Anolis sagrei: one gene and its partners. The protein of the gene in region 1 purifies or fractionates together with the protein of each later gene. This does not show direct contact. Links are inferred from orthologs where the notes say so. Each region holds a gene or a part of one and is shown on either strand. Other genes may lie near its edges.

Region 1 (6,722 bases):
AGCTATCTCCTTGATCCCTCTGTCTATCCATCTATCCATCTACCCATCTACCTATCCATCTACCTATCCATCTAGCCATCTATCTATCTATCTATCTATCTATCTACCTACCTACCTACCTACCTACCTATCCGTTCATCCATCTAGCTATCCATCTAGCTATCTACTTTATCTCTCTCTCTCTCTGTCTATCTCATCTATCCATCCATCCATCCATCCATCCACCCATCCATCCATCCATCTATCCATCCATCCATCCATTTATCCATTCATCCATCCATCCATCCGTCCGTCCATCTGTCTACTTCCCTACCTACAGGTTGGACTAGATGGGTTCTCCCTCCCTCCCTGCCTGCCTGCTTATTGATCTACTGAACTCTTACCTCTGCACCTCTGCCTGCTTATTGATCTACTGAAGGTCTTACCTCTGCACCTCTGCCCCCCAAGGGATACCCAGCCCAACCCATCACAGAGAGAACTCTTTCCCTTGGGGCGCCCTCCAACTCTGGGATTCTATTCAATCTATTTCTCCATCCATCCACCCAACTCCTTAAGCAGAGGCTGGCTGGCCATCGTGTTGGGAGGGGTTTGATTGTGCTTGTCCTGCCTGGCCGAAGGGGCTTGAGGTGGCCCTGGGGGTCCCTTCCAAGTCGAGGGACCTTTCCTTCCCCCGCCCTGTGTCTCCAGCTGAGCGAGGAAGGCAAGCGGAGGGGGGGGGGGGCTGGGTCCTTCCTTGGGTGTCGCAGGGGGGCAGCAGCCGGGTGCCTCAAAGTGGGTCGCTGCGCCAGGGAAGGGCCTGTGCGCCAAGCCCCCGGGGGCAGATGGACGGATGGACGCACACTCACTCGCTTGCTCACTCGCTCCCCGGCACACGCCCGTCAAGGGCAATCATGTGGCGGAAGGGAAGGCCGGGGGCAGGCGCCCAGGCACAGGGAGGCCGGCCAAAGAGGAGGAGGGAGGCGGGGTGGCTGGGAGGTTAGTGTCCATTGTTATCATGATTACTACTAGACTCACAGAGTGGGAAAGGGCCCCAAAGGAGGCCATCCAGTCTACCCCCTTCTGCCATAATAGGGAGATACAATCCGAGAGCTGGAAGGCGCTACAAAGAGGGCCATCCAGTCCAGCCCCCTTCTGCCTTCATGCAGGACAAGCACAATCAAAGCACCTCGATAGATGGCCATCCAGTCTCTGTAGTAGCCATGACAATAGCACTACTAGTAGGAACAACAACAACCCCAGGAGCAATCCCAGTCCAACCCCCTTCTGCCTTCATGCAGGAAAAGCACAATCAAAGCAACCTGATAGATGGCCATCCAGTCTCTGTAGTAGTAATGACAATAGCACTACTAGTAGTAACAACAACAACAACAACCCCAGGAGCAATCCCAATCCAACCCCCTTCTGCCTTCACGCAGGACAAGCACAATCAAAACACCCTGACAGATGGCCATCCAGTCTCTGTAGTAGTAATGACAATAGCACTACTAGTAGTAACAACAACAACAACCCCAGGAGCAATCCCACTCCAACCCCCTTCTGCCTTCATGCAGGAAAAGCACAATCAAAGCACCCCGATAGATGGCCACCCAGCTCTGTAGTAGCCATAACAATAGCACTACTAGTAGTAACAACAATAGGAGCAATTCCAGTCCAACCCCCTTCTGCCTTCATGCAGGAAAAGCACAATCAAAGCAACCTGACAGATGGCCATCCAGTCTCTGTAGTAGCCATAACAATAGCACTACTACTAGTAACAACAACAACAACAACAACAACAGGAGCAATCCCAATCCGACCCCCTTCTGCCTTCATGCAGGAAAAGCACAATCAAAGTACCCTAATAGATGGCCACCCAGCCTTTGTAAAGAACAACAACAGGAGCAACCCCAGAGGCCACCCCCTTTCCTCCTGCCCTGCAGGAAAAGCACAATCAAAGCCCCCCTGACAGATGCCCACCCACCCTCCCAAGGAGGAGCTTCCAACGAACTCTGAGGCAGAGAGTTCCTCTTCTGAACAAGCCCTGGCTCACTCACCCGGACGAGGTAGGAGACTCCGGGGCCCATGACCTTGTCGTCGGGGTGCAGCCACCCGCGGCTGGGCTTGTTGACAAAGCTGCCGTGGCGCGTCCACTCGTCCCCTCCCAGCTGGCCGCCTTCCACCCGCATCTTCTTCCCGCCGCAGCCCAGCTTGTTCATATCCTGGGAAGAGAGAGCCAGAGCTGAGCCCGGGGAGGCGGCAGCAAGGGGGGGCAAGGGGGGCAAGGCTGGCGGGGGCAACGCTGGGGGCACGGGCGGGGGCTCTTCCCTGGAGAAGCCCCGGAAGCCGCCCAGCAGCGTGGCGGCCGGGTTGGAGAGCTTGAGGTTGGCCATCTTGGGGAAGAAGGAGCAGAGGGTGGTGGGGCTGTCCTCCGACTCCGAGGAGAGCTCCCCCAGGGGCAGCATGGGGCTCAGCGAGGACGACGACGAGAGAGAGCCCGCCGGCAGGAGCGCAAAGGGGTCCGGCGGGGAGCCCTCCTCATCCTCCTCCTCCTCCTCTGCCGCCGTCGCCACCCCCGCCACAGCCACCCCCAAGGGCCCATCCTCCAGGGAGGAGAGGGAGTCGTTGCGCAGGTGGTTGTATCTGCTCTTCTGGAGGAGGTCCATCCCAACAAGTGAGTCCTGGCCAAGCTCACGCTCCTGCCAACGCCGGTCTGAAGGTGATGCTCTGCCTGGACGACATGGCTGACCAAAGGGAGGGGATCCAAGGAGAAATCCACCCCTGGGTTAGGACTGTCCGGTTATGGTAATCGCTGTTGTCCTTGCACCAAATCCACTCAATCGAAGGAAGGGCCAACAGACCACGCCAATGACAGCCGAGATCCCAGTCTGTGGTCCTCAAAGCTGGGATGCCAGAGAAGAGGGAGGAGGAGGACAGCGCCTTGGGACCCAAGGGGTTAGGACTGTCCGGTTACGGTCATCGCTGTTGTCCTTGCACCAAATCCACTCAATCGAAGGAAGGGCCAACAGACCACGCCAATGACAGCCGAGATCCCAGTCTGTGGTCCTCAAAGCTGGGATACCAGAGATGAGCGAGGAGGAGGACAGCGCCTTGGGACCCAAGGGGTTAGGACTGTCCGGTTACGGTCATCGCTGTTGTCCTTGCACCAAATCCACTCAATCGAAGGAAGGGCCAAGAGACCACGCCAATGACAGCCAAGATCCCAGTCTGTGGGATGCCAGAGGAGAAGAAGAGGAGATGAAGGAGGACAGCGCCTCGCGTCCCGATCTCCGATTCCCACACTGCTGAGCCTCTCCCTGCTTTGATTTGGATCGTCGTCCTTCTTCTGCTGCTTGAGGATGACAATCGGAGAGCCACGTCCTGCGAAGGAGAGATGGAGAAACGGCCCAAAGCGAGGGAGGCCACAGAGATGGATCCGGGAAGGTGGAGGCAGTGGGGAGCCTGCCAGGAAGCCGAACACAAGCCGCTCTGTTCAGCCACCGAAGAGGAGGAGGAGGAGTGTGTGTGGGGGGGGGGGAGCCCACGTGGGCAGCAGTGATGGGCAGCGGTCAGCCGGAGATGCCGGACCCGACCGTCTGGAGGCGGCCTTCTCTGGAGAGACAGGCCCCTCCCTCCTTGCAGCTCAGGTGCCCGCCGGCAGTGTCCTCTTTGGGGTCCCCCCTGAACCCCTTCCTGTCCGCCCTTGGATTCTGCTGCGGAGGGTGAATTGCTGCCGCTTCCTGAGTGCGGCTCCGGCAGCGAAAGAAAGAAAGAAAGAAAGAAAGAAGGCGGAGGACGGAAAGAGGCCAAGCCTCCACTGCCACCAATGGAGGAAAGGAAGGAAGGAAGGAAGGAAGGAAGGAAGGAAGGAAGGAAGGAGAGAGGAGGGAGGGCACTGCTGACTCACAAGGGGAGAGGTGGGTGGGTGGGAGGCCCCTGCCCACCTTGCCTTTGCAAAGAGGGAACGCGGGCCAAGCGGAGGACGCAGAGGCCAGGCTCCAAGGCAGGAGGGGTCAAGGTGAGCAAGCACTCACTCATTCACTCACTGGCTCACTCACACTCAAGGTCACTGGGCTCCAGACAAGATGGAGGGACCTTTCGGAGTGGCAGGCATATGGCACAGGCATCACAACAACAACAACTACTACTACTACTACTATTATACTCATATCTAATGCTCACCTTCGATGGAGCGTTAGACTTGAGTCAATATGAGGCCTGGGCAAACTTCAACCCTCCAGGTGTTTTGGACCTCAACTCCCATAATTCCTAATAGCCGGTCAATATGGTAGTTATGGTGGCTGACGAGGATGCTCAGAGGTAGTGAGGTGAGGATGCTTGCCATAGAAGCAGGCAAAATGTCAGGAGAGAATGCCTCTAGAACATGGCCATATAGCCCGAAAAAACCTATAGCAACCCTGTGATTCCGGCCATGAAAGCCTTCGACAATACGTTGACGAGACTGTTTTATTGTTTTAATGCTTGTTGATGTATTGTTTTCATTAGGATTTATGTTTAATTGTGGTTTTACTATTGTAATTGTATTGGCCAACATAAGGCCATTATTCTTGCCATGAATCTTGCCATTATTTTTGTGTAAACCCGCTTTGAGTCCCCCCAGGGTTGAGAAAGGCGGTATATAAATACTGTAAATAAGTAATAATAATACATAATAATAATTATTCTCTCTTCCAGTGGCTACTTTCAAGTTAGGGAATATGCCTCCCACTTTCCTTCCAGCTTAAAAGGTCCCTATGGCTTATATTATTATTATTATTATTATTATTATTATTATTTATTTCTATTAATATTATTATCACCCAACTTCCATCGCTGATTAAGAGGCAAAATGGCCCACAACATTAAAAGACACATGCAGTTTGAAATCTGCATCATATAAACATGACAATAAAACGGAACATACAATCATTAAACGGAGTCAGTTAGGAATTGTAACAAAAAACATACCACTTTTTGATTTCTCATTAGGATGCAAAGCGGCTTTCAACACTACAAAACAGGGCAATTTCAAATCCAGAAGAGACCCCAAAGGCCATCCCTGTCAAACCCTCTCTAGGCATGATGGAAGGAAAACAAAACCCAAAACCCACCCCCCATAACCTGTAATACAATGGAATACTACAACACCCATCATCAGAAAGAACTAGCACTGCTATCACTAGATGCGGAAAAGGCATTCGACAACCTGAACTGGAACTTCTTTAAATTACTGATGGACGAATTAGACCTAGGCTACCAATTTAAGAATGCTATAAACACTAACCAAGAAGCAAGAATTCAAATAAATGGACAACTAACAGAAAAGTTCCAAATCAGTAAAGGGACTCGACAAGGATGTCCCCTCTCCCCCTTAATATTCATAATGGCACTAGAAACATTGCTGGAATACATAATAAGACGGGACAGAGAACTGAAAGGATTGAAGATTGCCAAGCAAGAATTCAAATTAAGGGCTTTTGCGGATGACGTGATCTGCATCATAGAGGACCCAGTCAAAAACATAGAAAAGTGGATATCAAGAACCGAAGCATTTGGGAAGATAGCGGGATTCAAAATAAATAATAAGAAGTCATCTTAACTAAAAACATCACAAAAAAGAGAAAAGAAGAACTACAAGAAAGGACAGGATTCCAAGTTAAGACCAAGATAAAGTACCTGGGAATATGGATCTCGGCTAGTAATGCACAATTGCTTCAGAACAACTACATGGAAAAATGAACCCAAATATTATTAAAACAAGTCCGTTAGCAATAATATTTCAAAATCCAAGCGCCTGCGACAATCTACGTCATATAGACATGGAAACAGAATAAAACAATCACTTAAAACAGGTCAGTTAGTAGTAGTAGCAGCAGTAGTAGCAACAACACAATCCAAACACCTGCAACAACAACAACAACAACAAAATGTTATTTACACCCCGCCACCATCTCCCCAAAGGGGACTCGGGGCAACTTACATGAGGTCATCAATACAATAAACACAATATAACACAAAACACAACAAAAATCAAGAAATAAAATAACATAAAATACAATATGCTGCCAGCCAAATTGAAGCGCCAAAAGTGGGCGCTAGAAACAACATCATACGAAAGCTGACTGGCACAACCTGGGGATCACAACCAGACACAGTGAAGACATCTGCCCTTGCGCTATGCTACTCTGCTGCTGAGTCTGCATGCCCAGTGTGGAACACATCCCACCACGCTAAAACAGTGGATGTGGCTCTTAATGAGACATGCCGCATTATCACGGGGTGTCTGCGCCCTACACCACTGGAGAAAGTACACTGCTTAGCCGGTATTGCACCACCTGACATCCGCTGGGAAGTAGCAGCCAAAAGTGAAAGGACCAAGGCAGACATCTCCAGCTCATCCCGTTTGGGTATCAGCCAGCACCTCAACGACTTAAATCAAGACATAGTTTTCTAAGATCTACAGAGGCACTCGCTGGAACACCTCAGCAAGCGAGAGTCCAAAAGTGGCAGGCTCAAACCCAGAACCTCAAATGAGAGACTTCCTTGGAAGGCGCTGAACAGGCTGCGCTCTGGCCCCACGAGATGCAGAGCCAACCTTCAGAAATGGGGCCGCAAAGTGGAATCCACGGCATGCGAGTGGGGAGAAGAGCAAACCACTGACCACCTGCTGCAATGCACCCTGAGCCCTGCCACATGATGCACAAGGGAGGACCTTCTTCTTGAGGCAACACCAGAGGCACTCCAAG
Region 2 (6,722 bases), on another chromosome or scaffold:
GGGGGCGAGGACTTATTCAAAGGAGGCCTTCCTTTACGCCTGAGGTAAAGTGACTTTCCCAAGGTCATCTAGTGGTTTTCATGATTTAGTGGGGAATTGGACCCCAGACTCCCCGAGTCCATTGGCTTAAATCCCCTAAAGGTACCAGATCCTATCAGATCCTGGAAGCAAATCAGGGTCAGCCCAGGTTAACATATAGATGAGACACTGCCAGAGAACACTAAATGCCATTGGCTATATTTTTGAGGAAGGAACTGCAAAGCCTTCTCTGTGTATTCCTTGCTTTTAAAATCCTATGAAATTCATGTGGTTGCTGTAAGTCGACAGATGACTTGAAGGCACACACATATCGTACCCTACAAATGGCAAAAAGAGCTAAAAAGCCTTCTATTGCACAAAGGGATTTAAGCATATCCATCCCTGAACAGTCCTCTCTGAGAGGCCACTTCCAAATAATGGTTTGCTTCACCAACTAGAGATTTTTTTTAAATGAGGGGTATGGAATTGCTGCCAGTTGTAAGCTGCCTTGAGTCCCCTCTGGGCTTGAGAAAGGTGGGATATAAATATGGTAAATAAATAAATAAATAACACCTACTTGATACTAAATCAAATTGAGGTTATGTCAATCTCTGCCCCAATGGGCATAACCTGATTCCGGTAGAATACATGAAAGACAAGAATCAGCACAGAAAGCACAGTGATCACTATGGTAATATCTAACCAGTTATTTTGTGCCAAACTCCTATAGTATGGCTACTGGGAGATATTTCCTATTATGTTTCTTCACTATGAGATGGTGGAGAAGAGGTTATTTCTGGAGCACTCCAGAAACAAATCTACTTGTCATTCATTTTTCTGAAGCCTAGTCAACCCTCAATCTTCATTTAGGGGCACATGATCCCTGCAAAAGTGAACAACCACATTTTTTAAAAAAACAACCTTTATTTTACCTAAGAGAACACCCCTCTAGGAATTTCTGGGTTGTCCAGCACCATTCTATTGTTAATTTCTGCCTGAATCACATTGGAGGCCAAGAGATTCCAAGAGAGGTGTTCTTTCTAGTAACCTCGAGGTCCTCCACTTCTGGTGGAAATTGACCACAGAGTTGCACTGGAGGACCTTGAGATTCCTGGGAAGAACATTATAATAAAAACCGTAAATATTCAAGTTCACAAATGTGATGCACCAACCATATATGGTATCTGGTGGGTGAGAATATCTCTTTTCAGCAAGAAGATTTTTTATTCATGCCAGGCAAGCTGGAATGTGTCCAGAGGAGGGCAACTAAAATGATCAAGGGTCTGGAGAACAAGACCTATGAAGAGAGGCTTATAGAGCTGGGCATGTTTAGCCTGCAGAACAGAAGGCTGAGAGGAGACATGATAGTCATATATAAATATATGAGGAAAAGTCACAGGGAGCTGGTTTTCTGCTGCCCTAGAGACTATGGCTTCAAACTACAGGAAAGGAGATTCCACGTGAACATTAGGAAGAACTGTGAGAGCTGTTCAGCAATGGAACTCTCTGCCCTGCACTGTGGTGGAGGCTCCTTCTTTGGAGGCTTTTAAGTAGAAGCTGGATGGCCATCTGTCAGAGATGCTTTGAATGCAATTTTCCTGTTTCTTGGAAGGGGGTTGGACTGGATGGTCCACGAGGTCTCTTCCAACTCTAGGTCCACACAATATGAGGATTTTTGATAGTCCATTTGTGGTGAGAAAGTGTGTGCTGAAATAACTACCAATCCAGTCCTTGGCCTCCTTCAACCAATTCCAAAGATTAATACTGACCACTGGCTAATGGCTCTTTACACAGACAGACATCTCTAGATCAGCTTTAAAAGGTCTCCTGGAGGCAGCAGCCCTGCTGCCAAAAGAAGATTAGGAGTATTTTGTCAGCTACGCAGCATGGAAATGGTAAAACCTCAGATGACTTGCAGGCTTATCGACACACTCACACACAAGCCCTGCACCAATTTGACTAACTTGCCTGCTAAATAGAGACAACAAAGCCTGAGCCATTCCAACGGTTGGTATCTCCAAACTGAACTGAATTCAGGGGACAAATGTGTAGGGAGAGCACAGCTCAAAACTGCGAGATTGGGATTATTCTAAATTGGGGTTGATTTCATTGGGCGGCTGTTGTGTGTAATAGATTTTCAACATATTACTCTTTCAATTGAAAACAAGGGATTGTAGAGGTGTTTATGGTGGTAGCATCGCACACATATACTGTACCTCTTATAAACAATAAATGCACTTGGAGCATTGCATGAAATGTCCTGATTCACACGGCCATAGAAAAAGGGAAATGTCACTTTCTTCAAAAGGAGCTACATTCTCCCTCTTCCTCCTCCCTACTAACTAAAGCATTTCTTTCCTAGAGGATTTCCAGATTTATCTGTTTTCCTCACAGAACAGACCCAGTGGTTTCACTGGGATGAGTTGTCAGGCTTTGAATGGGCAGATCACCTGGGCTTCACACATTGCAAGCCACTCAGTCAGGATGGTTTAGGAACAGAAGTGAATCAAGGAGGATACGTCCCTAAAGACTTGCAAGGTGCATCTACCTGCAAAATTAATGCACTTTGACACCATTTTGCCATGGCGCAATGGTAATTAATCCTGGGAGTTGTCGTTTCCCAAGGTGTTCGGCTTTCTCTACCTACGGATGTATCGACACCAGGGATGGGCAAACTTCTGAATCCTGGCAGTTGTCGTTTCTCAAGATCTTTGGCTTTCTTTACCTCCAGATGTATCTACAGAGGTATGAGCAAACTTCTGAATCCTGGGAGTTGTAGTTTCCCAAGATCTTTGGTTTTCTTTACCTACAGATGTATCTACAGAAGGTATGGGCAAACTTCTAAATCCTGGAAGTTGTAGTTTCCCAAGATCTTTGGCTTTCTCCATCTATGGATGGATCTACACCAGGTATGGGCAAACTTGGGCCTTCCGGGTGTTTTGGACTTCAACTCCCACCATTCCGAATGGTGGGAGTTAAAGTCCAAAACACCTGGAGGGCCCAAGTTTGCCCATACCTGGTCTACACTGTAGAATGAATGCAGCTTGACTTCCACGGCTCAGTGCTATGCAATCCTGGGATGGGTAGTTTGGTGAGGCCCCAGCCCTCTCTGGAAGAGCCAGCTAAAGGTCTTGTAAGACTGCAACTCCCAGGATCCCATAGCATTGAGCCAGGGCAATTAAAAGTGGTGTCAAACGCATTCATTCCATAGTGTAGATGACGGAAGGCTTTTATGGGGAGGCAAGAGAAGGGCATGTCATTTCAAGGAGGGGGAAAAGGCCCTAGGAATGCAGAACAAACACACTCCGTTGGAAAGGCTCTCTTTCCAACGGAGCTTCTTCCTAAGGCCAGGAACGGTGAGCTCATTCCCGTTACTTCAGTCCTTAAGGAAGGCATGAGAGAAGCAAAAGCCCCGCCCGACAGACCGAGCAGGCAAGAGGGAAGGAGGCGGCCAAGCTTCGCCTTCTTTCTCCCCACGCCATGATGGGAAGCCAGCTCCGAGCCTCCTCTCCCCTCTGCCCACGCGCAAAAGGAGGCGCCCCCATCCCCCCCCCCAGGGGGGCCACTCACAGTTCCGGATGTCGGAGATGAAGACGGCCAAGCCGCGCATCCCATCGCCTTTGGACACAGCCGGCATTTTGGCGGCGAAGCCTTGGCCGAGCTTTCCGCAATCGGCAGCAGCGGAGCAGCCACGGCCGCCGCTCGGTTTCAGTCTCAGCAGAAGCAGGAGGAGGAGGAGGAGGAGGACCTTTAGCCCTGCAGCCGCCCACGCCACGCACGCGCGCCTCTCCTCCTCCTCCTCCTGCCCACGCTCGCCTCGCCAAGACCCCGCTAGAGATGCCCGGGACACGCGCCCCCTGCCGGGCGGAGGCGAGAAGGCGGCCGGGAAGTTAAGGAGGGAGAGACAGGCAGAAGCCAAGGCACCCGGTCAGCTCTGCAGGGTCAGCGCTGGTTAGCGCTTGGATGGGAGGCCGCCTACGTCAGTGTTTCTCAACCTCCCTAATACTACAGTTCCTCATGTTGTGCTGACCCCCAACCATAATATTATTTTCGTTGCTACTTCATAACTGTAATTTTGCTACTGTTCTGAATCGTCATGTAAATCTCTGGCATGCAGGATGTATTTTTATTCACTGCAACAAATTTGGCACACAGACTGGATACGCCCAAATTTGAATACTGGTGGGGTGGGGGTTGATTTGATCATTTCGGAGTTGTAGTTGCTGGGATTTATCGTTTTGTTTTGTTTTGTTTTGTTTTTAAATATATCTTTATTGATTTTATTTTGCAGGTTAAAAAAATGAATAGGAAGGGGAGAAAAAGAAAAAAAATTGAAGGGGGTTACAGGATATTTACTCTTGACCGTGGGCCAGTTTGTTGGGGGTTCTTCTTTACTGGTTCTTTCCTAGGTTGATTATCTGCTTCAAGTGCTTAAGCTGTTCTTTGTTTTTCCGTTCATAGCATAACCTTCATCTTCTCCTGTTTCAGAAAGCTGGTTAGTTGTGGTCACGGGCGCGATTGGTGGGGACGAGAGACAGGGCCTTCTCAGTGATTGCTCCCTGGCTATGGAACTCCCTTCCTGGTGAGATCAGGTCAGCCCACTCCCTCCTGTCCTACAGAAGGATGGTAAAAACCTGGCTGTGGGACCAAGCTTTCAGGACAGGGCAATAAATCGGAAATAGGAAAGATTACCAGGCCGATTAGATTTGCCACTGATGACTAGGATGGTTTTAGATGGTGCCTTTTAATATTGAGATTAATGTTTTTAATGTTTATGTATGTGTATATGAATTTATGTCCCGGCATTGAATGTTTGCCATATATATGCTGTGCTCCTCCCTGAGTCCCCTTCAGGGTGAGAAGGGTGGAATATAAATGTTTTAAATAAAATAAATAAATAAATTAGTTGTGACCAGTCTGTCGCTTTTCTAGTTCTGTTTTGGTTGTGAGCTAGTTGTTGAGTGAGTAGATTCATTTTCATGATCTCTATCATTTTTATCAACCATTCTTGTCTTGTTGGGATTTCTTCTGTTTTATAGCGCCTTGCGAGTACTATTCTTGCAGCAGTTGTTAAATAGGTGAGGAGGATGTCTTTATTCTTTTCCAATTTTTAATCCATGATACCCAACAAGAAGAGTTCTGGACTAAAATTTATTTGTTCTTGAATTATTTTTTGGATTGCACCGTGAATTATTTTCCAATATTTCCTTACTTTGTTACAGCTCCACCACATGTGTAGGAATGAGCCCATCTCATCTTTGCATTTCCAACATTTTGCACCTAAGTTCTTATAACATTTTGGTAAATTTTCAGGTGTGTGATACCACTGGTATTGTATTTTATATCAGTTTTCCTGTAGTTCATATGAATAAGTGAATTTTATTTTAGTATTCCATATTAATTCCCATTCACTGAGTCCTATTGTGCGTCCAACGTTTGAGGCCCACTTTGCCATGCAGTCTTTGTCTGTCTTTTTTTCCTGTGCCCATTCTGAGAGTTTCTTGTAAATTTTGGAGATGATTTTGCTTTGAGAGAGCATTATTTTATCCCAGACCGTCTCCTTTGCCATAAAGCCTCTTTTCTTGTCCACATTATAATGTTCTCTGATTTGTCTATATCGGAACCATGAAATGTGCTTAAACTTTTCCTTTAATTCCTCTTGCGTCTTTATCATAAAGTTCCCATTTTGTCTCTTTAGGACTTCTTTGTAAGGGGGCCATGATTCTCCACCAGATTCTCTTCTTTGGTCAGCTTCAAGTTGATCCAAAGTGGGGGTTTTTTGGTAAAAGTAATCCTTGGGATTTAGAGTTCACTTACAATCAAAGAGCATTCTGAACTTCACCAACGATGGAATTGAACCAAACTTGGCACACAGAATTCCCATGACCAACAGAAAATACTGGAAGGGTTTGATGGGCACTGACCTTGAGTTTTGGAGTTGTACAGTTATTCTCCAACATCCAGAGAGCACTGTGGACTCAAACAATGATGCCTCTGGAACAAACATGAAACGAATACTCAATATGCCCAAATGTGAACACCAGTGGAGTTTGGGGGAAATATACCTTGATATTTGGTGGTTGTAGTTGCTGTGATTTATAGTTCACCTACAATCAAAGAGCATTCTGAACCTCACCAATGATAGAATTGGGCCAAACTTCCCACACAGAACCCCCATGACCACAGAAAATAGTGTGTTTTCAGATTGTCTTTGGAGACCCCTCTAACACCTCCTCACAATCCCCAGATTGAGAAAAACCGGCCTATGTACATAGCCTTGGAGTTGAGACATGCCACTCCAGGGCTGGGGGGGGGGGGGGGGGGGAGGGGGAGGAATTCACACACACCCATTTTTTCAGGTTTTTTTTAAACTGTTTTACTCATGAATTTTAACCAAATTAAAATGAAAATTAACCAAATCCCCCTGCTAAGTCTATGAGAAGCAAAAATTAAACAAGCCCCCTTCAGAACTGCAAGTACTATCTCAAGCAAATTTTGACAATTTATTCACATTGTCATTATTTGCAGCAATAGCCGATATAGTGGAAGCAACCAGGTTGGCCCACCCATAAAGCTCATGAAGACCAGACTTAGTGGGGGCGGTTGACAGGGCGGGAGCTGCAGGCTATTTAAGGCTGCTCAACCCCCCCCCCCCCCCCCCGTGCTATTTGCTTCAGCATGAGGTAGGAGGTAGGTTCCTAATG
Region 3 (6,722 bases), on another chromosome or scaffold:
ATTGCAGTGGTTCTCAACGTGTGGGTTCCCAGATGTTTTGGCCTTCAACTCCCAGAAATCCTAACAGCTGGTATTTCTGGGAGTTGTAGGCCAAAACACCTGGGGACTCACAGGTTGAGAACCACTGCTGTATTGGAAACAAATCCCTGAACATAGAATCTTTTTGAGCATTTTGCTTGGAATTCCAAAATATACTAAAGTAGGAATTAGGAGCCTGAGATCTGCCTAATGCTGGCCTAGAATCTGATGAACATATGAATTACCTTATTCCATGTCTGCTTTCTGTGCAGCCACTCAATATTAGCTCTAATTTGACTGACAACAGCTTTTTAGGTTCACAGGCTGGAAAATATTTTTGATAATAGGGATTGAACTTGGTACCTTTTACATCCATAGTGTGTGTTCTACCACTGAGCTTACCATCTCCATAAAAATAGTATTTTCAGAGGCCAGCAACAGAAATCAAAGACAACTTCAAGACAGCAACCTCATGCTTAGTAATCTCAACCTTCACACAGGACTGCAAGAAAAGAGCCTATAATGCTCTCCATTGGCCCTGCAATGATTCATAGTCTTAAGCTCCATCAAAATCACGACATAATAATCTTTTTCCTGAAATTCCAGTGCAGTGAAGTTATCTTTAGTGTGCTCCAACTCATGACATAATTACAATTTCCCACACCCTCTGTACATTGTTTGTGTATATTTTCTAGGATGGCTTTTGCTTTCAGATTGACTTTCTCCCCCAGGGATGTTTGGGTGGTGGGAGACGAAGAAGAGTCAACAATGGTAGGATCAAAGTCTAAAAAGGACTGTTTGAAATTAGCCCCGAAGACTGCTACCCGTGGAGAGCCACACACTGCAATCACCCTATTGGTTTCATGTACAATCTTTGCAAAAAAAAAGATATTGCACAACACTCTGTGACTGTGTGAGCCAAAGAGAGGAAGGGTGGGGTGAAGGGGAAGATCAGGATTCTTGAGAAGGAAGTAGGGAAAGCGAACGGAAACAGACACTTTTGGCCACACTGGAACGCCCCCACAAAAGTCTAGAAAGAAAGACTTGGCACTGAACGAAGATCTCATGGATCTGAAATGTAACATCTTCATCCTTTCAATCACTACTAGCATCTTTCCTATTACTGCAGAGGCAAGCTGAAAAATGACAAGGTTCCTATTTATACTTACTATTAAAGCTCAGTGATTGCCAATCTTTTTTTCCCCAATACCACATAATGCTGACAGCTATGAACATATACTTCCTATCAAAATCATCCATTTGCCCTTAAGGCAAATGGATGTTCCTGATAGGAATTATATGTTCCATTAGGCTCTACCTGATATGCATTGGGGAGGGGACAGAGAATTTGATTCACAGCAGCCAGGAACATTTCTCTAATTTATTTTGTGTTCCCCAAACAGAATTCAGGCTATTCCCCCCCCCCCCCCCCCCTTTGCGTTTTGTACACAGAATGTAAATAGCTGGCGAAGCCTTTCATGGCCGGAATCACTGGGTTGTTGTAGGTTTTTCGGGCTATATGACTATGTTCTAGAAGCATTCTCTCCTGATGTTTCACCTACATCTATGGCAGACATCTTCAGAGGTTGTGGGGTCTCACAACCTCGGAGGATGCCTGCCATAGATGCAGGTAAAACGTCAAGAGAACGCCATAAAGTCCATAAAGTCCGAAAAACCTACAACAACTCAATGTAAATAGCTGTTTCTTACTTTGCTCTCAACAGTATCTGTCCAAGCCCTTGGTGCCAAGTGATGAATATCACCTTTAACCCTCTATATTGGTATAGATCCAACACAAATGCTTCCCAAGAAAATGTAATCCTGTACTATGGAATGTGTCCATTTCCCTAGTTTTGGATTTTTGTGTATGATTCACTTTTTGAATGCCCTTGTTGTGGGAACATGGGAATGAAGAAGGGCATTGAAATCCACACATGAACAAACCAGGATGAGAGTTTGTTCCTTTCTTCCTGCCTCATGAGCCCTTCTCACATTCTCCGTTGACAACTTTTTTTTGCTTTTTTATTGCACCCCACTTTTTCTCCCTCCAAATATCAGAAATCAGGTAAAAACCAGACACTTAATGATAAAATTGGAAGAGATCACAAAGGCAATCCAGTCCAACCCCTGCGATGTAGGAACACATAATCAAAGCACTCCCAACAGATGGCCATCCTGCTTCTGTTAAAAAGCCTATAGAGCAGGAGACTCCATCCCACTCTGAAGCAGAGTTCCACTATTGAACAGCTCTCATGGTCAGGAAATTCTTCCTAATATTCAGGTGAAATCTCATTTTCAATCATTTGAATCTACGGCTCCACTGTGTCCTAGTCTCTGGAGCAGCAGAAAACAAAGCTTGTCCACTCATCAACATGACATCCTTTCAAATATTTAACCTTGGTTCTCATGCCCCTTTTTCCTTTGCAACCCTCATATTCTCCAGCACCCACTCCCTAGTCCACCTCCACACAAGCCCCATCTGCACTGACCATTTAATGCAATTCAGACCTAGCTTCAAACTGTGGCATCGAGAAAGTCCCACAAAAGTGTGTGAAAGAAAATCCTCTGTATAGTTTGTCTTATCACCATCTGGACCAGGGTTTCCTTTGTGTATTCATCTGCACGACGAAACCACTTTCTTCAATGTCAGTTTGAAACTGTGTTAAATAGTCAGTGGAGATGAGACCACAGTCTACAACCATACAACAATGTCCATCTTCCACATTGGCACCTGGTGGCTCGCTCTGTTTTTCAAGTTAGTTCCAAAAAGCTGCTTTGCTATAATAATAATAATAATAATAATAATAATAATATACCATCTGCCTGTGACAAAGAATTGGTGGAATTACAAGCCTGAAAAAGTTACGAAAATAAACACATCAAACAATTCTGAGACTTCCAAATTCAGACTGACAAGTTCTTGGAAACACAATACTCCTGACCTCACAATTGTGGAAAAAAACCAAGTATGGATCTTTGATGTTGCAATCCCACGCGACAGCAGGATTGATGAGAAGCAACTGGAAAGGCTGACACGATGTGAGGATTTAAAGATAAAACTGCAAAGACTCTGGCACAAGACGGCAAAGGCGGTCCCAGTGGTGATTGGCACACTGGGTGCAGTGCCTAAAGACCTTGGCCTGCACCTAAAAACAATAGACGCTGACAAAAATACCATCTGTCAGCTGCAAAAGGCCACCCTACTAGAATCTGCACACATTATTTGCCGAAACATCACAGAGTCCTAGACACTTGGGAAGTATCCGGCGTGTGAGCAAACACAAAAGCCAGGATAGTGATCTTGTTTACTGTGTACTAATATTATTATGTATCAAATAATAATAATACTTTATTTATATTTCACCCTATGTCCCCAAGTGAACTCCTAAGCCAAACCTGTCACCCAACCTACAGCTGACACTGTAGCCAACTCGTAAGTCCAACTTATCACCTTAGAGCAGGTATGGGCAAACTTTGGCCCTCCAGGTGTTTTGGACATCAACTCCCACAATTCCTAACAGCCGGCTGTTAGAAATTTTGGGAGTTCAAAGCACCTGGAGGGTCAAAGTTTGCCCATGCCTGCCTTAGTCAAATCTCCCCTTGCCAGCCAGCCAGCCTGAACTATATCCACACTGTAGAATTAATGCAGTTTTATGTATTGTCTAATCACCTCTCAGGCACTCTCAGGTCATTATAGTGTATGCTAATCAAGGTGGTCAGTTGAAACATTCACACCTAGCTCCAGCAGACAAGAGTCCTTTGTCCCACCCTGGTCATTCCACAGATATATAAACCCTTTTTCCTACTTCCAACAGACCTCACTATGTTTGAGGATGCTTGCCATGGATGCAGGCGAAACGTCAGGAGAGAATGCCTCTAGACCAGTGGTTCTCAACCTGGGGTCCCCAGATGTTTTTGGCCTTCAACTCCCAGAAATCCTAATAGCTGGTAAACTGGCTGGGATTTCTGGGAGTTGTAGGCCAAAAACATGTGGAGACCCCAGGTTGAGAACCACTGCTCTAGACCATGGCCATATAGCCCGAAAAAACCTACAACAACCCTAATGCAGTTTTGATCCCACTCTTAATTGCAATCACTCAATGCTATCCAGTCCTGGGGAAGTTGTAGTTTTGTGAGGCATATACAGCTCTGGTGCCCCAACAAACTACAACTCCCAGGATCCCATGGCAGTGAAAGTGGGGTTAAAAGCGCTATAATTGTGCAGTGGAGACACAGTTGTGGAACTAGCTCAGTTTGGCAAAAACTTGGGACTCCCAGGGCATCCTGGGAGCTGTAGTTTCACAAGGTCTGTCAAAAAAAGGGGTGCTGGTGCCTGGCCAAACTACAACTCCCAGGGTCCCAAGCAATGGCAATTAAAGTGGGATGGAACTGGATCAACTCCACAGTGTGGATGCCCTCACAATTTTTCTCCAAGAGCAAGGCTGGAGCCAAGGGGCCCCCAGGAGCCCCTCCCAAGGGCCCTCCTTGGCCTGGCCTGGCCTAGCCTGGCCGTCAACCGGCTTCCTGCCTCCTTCCCGGCCGCAATCCCACCCGAGGCCCCTTTCCGAGCCCCCCTTCGGCCCTCTCCCATTCCCTCCTTCCTCTTCAACGGCCCCTCCCCTCCCGTTCTCCTCCAGCCTTCCCCATTTGCTCACAGTTTCGGATATCGGAGATAAATACGGCCAGGCCCCGCATCCCGTCTCCCTTGGAAACGGCCGGCATGGTGGCGGTGGCGGATCGGGACCCCGGCGACGCTCCGTTCCGCTCCGCGCCCGAAACCTGGCCCAGCAGCACCGAACCGACCAGGGACTATCCCATTGGCCGCTCTCTACGTCCGTCGTAGGCGATTTTGCATCCCATTGGCTTGAGACCCCGCCTGTCAAGTCCATCCTTGTTCCTATTCACTGAAGGCAAAGCATCCTCCTAGATGATTGGCAGAGAGGATTAAATCCCGCCTATCCCTCTCCCTATTGGCTCCGCCATGCCCCTTATGTCAAATAAGTCCCCTGCCGTCCTGCATTTTCCATTGGGCGTAGGTTAGGACATGTCCCGCCTATAGTTCTTTCCCTCCCGCCCCTTTGTAGACAATCTCTTCTTCTTAGTGGTTCTGAGGAATGTCCTTCAAGGGATATCCCGCCCTCCTTCTCTCCAGCTTCTTGCGAAATCAGCACGCTTAGTTCCCGCCCCACTGATGGACAGTCAACACTTCTTCTGGGTTCTTATTGGAGGAAGAGCTTCTTGTCATTCAAGCAGCATGCTTCTTTTCATTGGCTAAAAGAGGTGACAGCGGAACGGCGGCAAAAGGAACATTGGGGAGAGGAGACTTGGAGACTGGGCTGGGAGGGGCAGCTGACGTCACGAGGTTTGAGCCAATAGGCGCAAAAGAGAAATGTTAAAGGATGGAAAGGCATGGATTCAAATCCTCTTCCATGTGGTTCGAGTTCTTCTTATCTAAGTGTACTATTATTTCTTCTACATTTATTGTTGTTGATAGTCTAATGTTTATATTATTTAATATAATGTAATATAATATAATTTATTGTATATACATATAATATTTATAATATTATAATGTAATGCAATATAATAATAATAATATATTATTATAATTACATATTTATTTTACATGTAATATTACTAATAATATTTCAATATAATGGTATAGTACAATATAGTAATATTTAATACTGATATTGTACTATGCTAATAATATAATATATTGTATGTATATATATTTTGTAAGCCGCTCTAATTCCCCTCCGGTGTGAGAAGGGCGGCATATAAATGTCATAAATAAATCTATATAAATAAAAATGTAATGTTCGTTTGTGGGATTAATAGAACCTAAAAACCACTGGACAAGTTGACACCAAATTTGGACACAAGACACTAAAAAAATGGATTTCGTCATTTGGGAGTTGTAGTTGCTGGGATTTGTAGTTCACCTACAATCCAAGAGCATTCTGAACCGCACCAACGATGGAATTGAACCAAACTTGCCACACAGTTCTCCTATGGCCAACAGAAAATACTGGAAGGGTTTGGTGGGCAGTATCCTTTGGTTTTGGAGTTGTAGTTCACCAACATCCAGAGAGCACTGTGGACTCAAACAATGATGGATCTGGACCAAATTCTTCACAAATACTCAATATGCCCAAATGTGAGCACTGGTGGAGTTTGGGGAAAATAGAATCTTGACATTTGTGAGTTGTAGTTGCTGGGAGTTATAGTTCACCTACAATCACAAAGCATTCTGAACCCCACCGATGATAGAATTGGGCCAAACCTCCCACACAGAACCCCCATGACCACCAGAGTGGGCCACAGCAATGTGTGGCAGGGGATGGCTACTAAATAAACAATCTTAGTAGTAGTATTTAATAATAATAATATATATTTATTATAATAAATATAATACTTATTTACAATAATAGTAATATTATTTTGAAATTATCATTCCCAATATTGCTTAAAATATTTATTAAGATGAGAATTAGTAAGTTTTTAGTACCATTTTATTTTTTTTAAAGATAAAAAATAGTACTTATATAGAGCAATGTGAAGATATGGCAAGTGCTATCTAGGATCTGTTTCTAGAGAATTTAAATGCCAAACCACTTCTGGGCAAGCTATTTAACTTCAGTAGACTGAAAGCCAAAACCAAGGTCACAACATCTGTTATAGAACTCCAATATGCTGATGAC

What was found.
Region 2: the proteins of SHC1 (region 1) and AP2A2 purify together in Homo sapiens (affinity purification with mass spectrometry; 4 studies listed by BioGRID and IntAct, with this or other methods). This does not show direct contact. The link is inferred for Anolis sagrei from reciprocal best matches to the Homo sapiens genes SHC1 and AP2A2.
Region 3: the proteins of SHC1 (region 1) and AP2A1 purify together in Homo sapiens (affinity purification with mass spectrometry; 4 studies listed by BioGRID and IntAct, counting the BioPlex papers as one, with this or other methods). This does not show direct contact. The link is inferred for Anolis sagrei from reciprocal best matches to the Homo sapiens genes SHC1 and AP2A1.

The regions. Positions count from the first base shown.
Region 1 is NC_090032.1:232,805-239,526, reverse strand, and holds the start of SHC1 (SHC-transforming protein 1), read right to left. Parts: upstream 3,840-6,722; 5' UTR 2,643-3,839; coding exon 2,034-2,642; intron 1-2,033. UniProt on the Homo sapiens protein: Signaling adapter that couples activated growth factor receptors to signaling pathways. Participates in a signaling cascade initiated by activated KIT and KITLG/SCF.
Region 2 is NC_090021.1:242,353,867-242,360,588, reverse strand, and holds the start of AP2A2 (AP-2 complex subunit alpha-2), read right to left. Parts: upstream 3,837-6,722; 5' UTR 3,656-3,836; coding exon 3,589-3,655; intron 1-3,588. UniProt on the Homo sapiens protein: Component of the adaptor protein complex 2 (AP-2). Adaptor protein complexes function in protein transport via transport vesicles in different membrane traffic pathways.
Region 3 is NC_090026.1:28,904,536-28,911,257, forward strand, and holds the start of AP2A1 (AP-2 complex subunit alpha-1), read right to left. Parts: upstream 4,832-6,722; 5' UTR 4,741-4,831; coding exon 4,674-4,740; intron 1-4,673.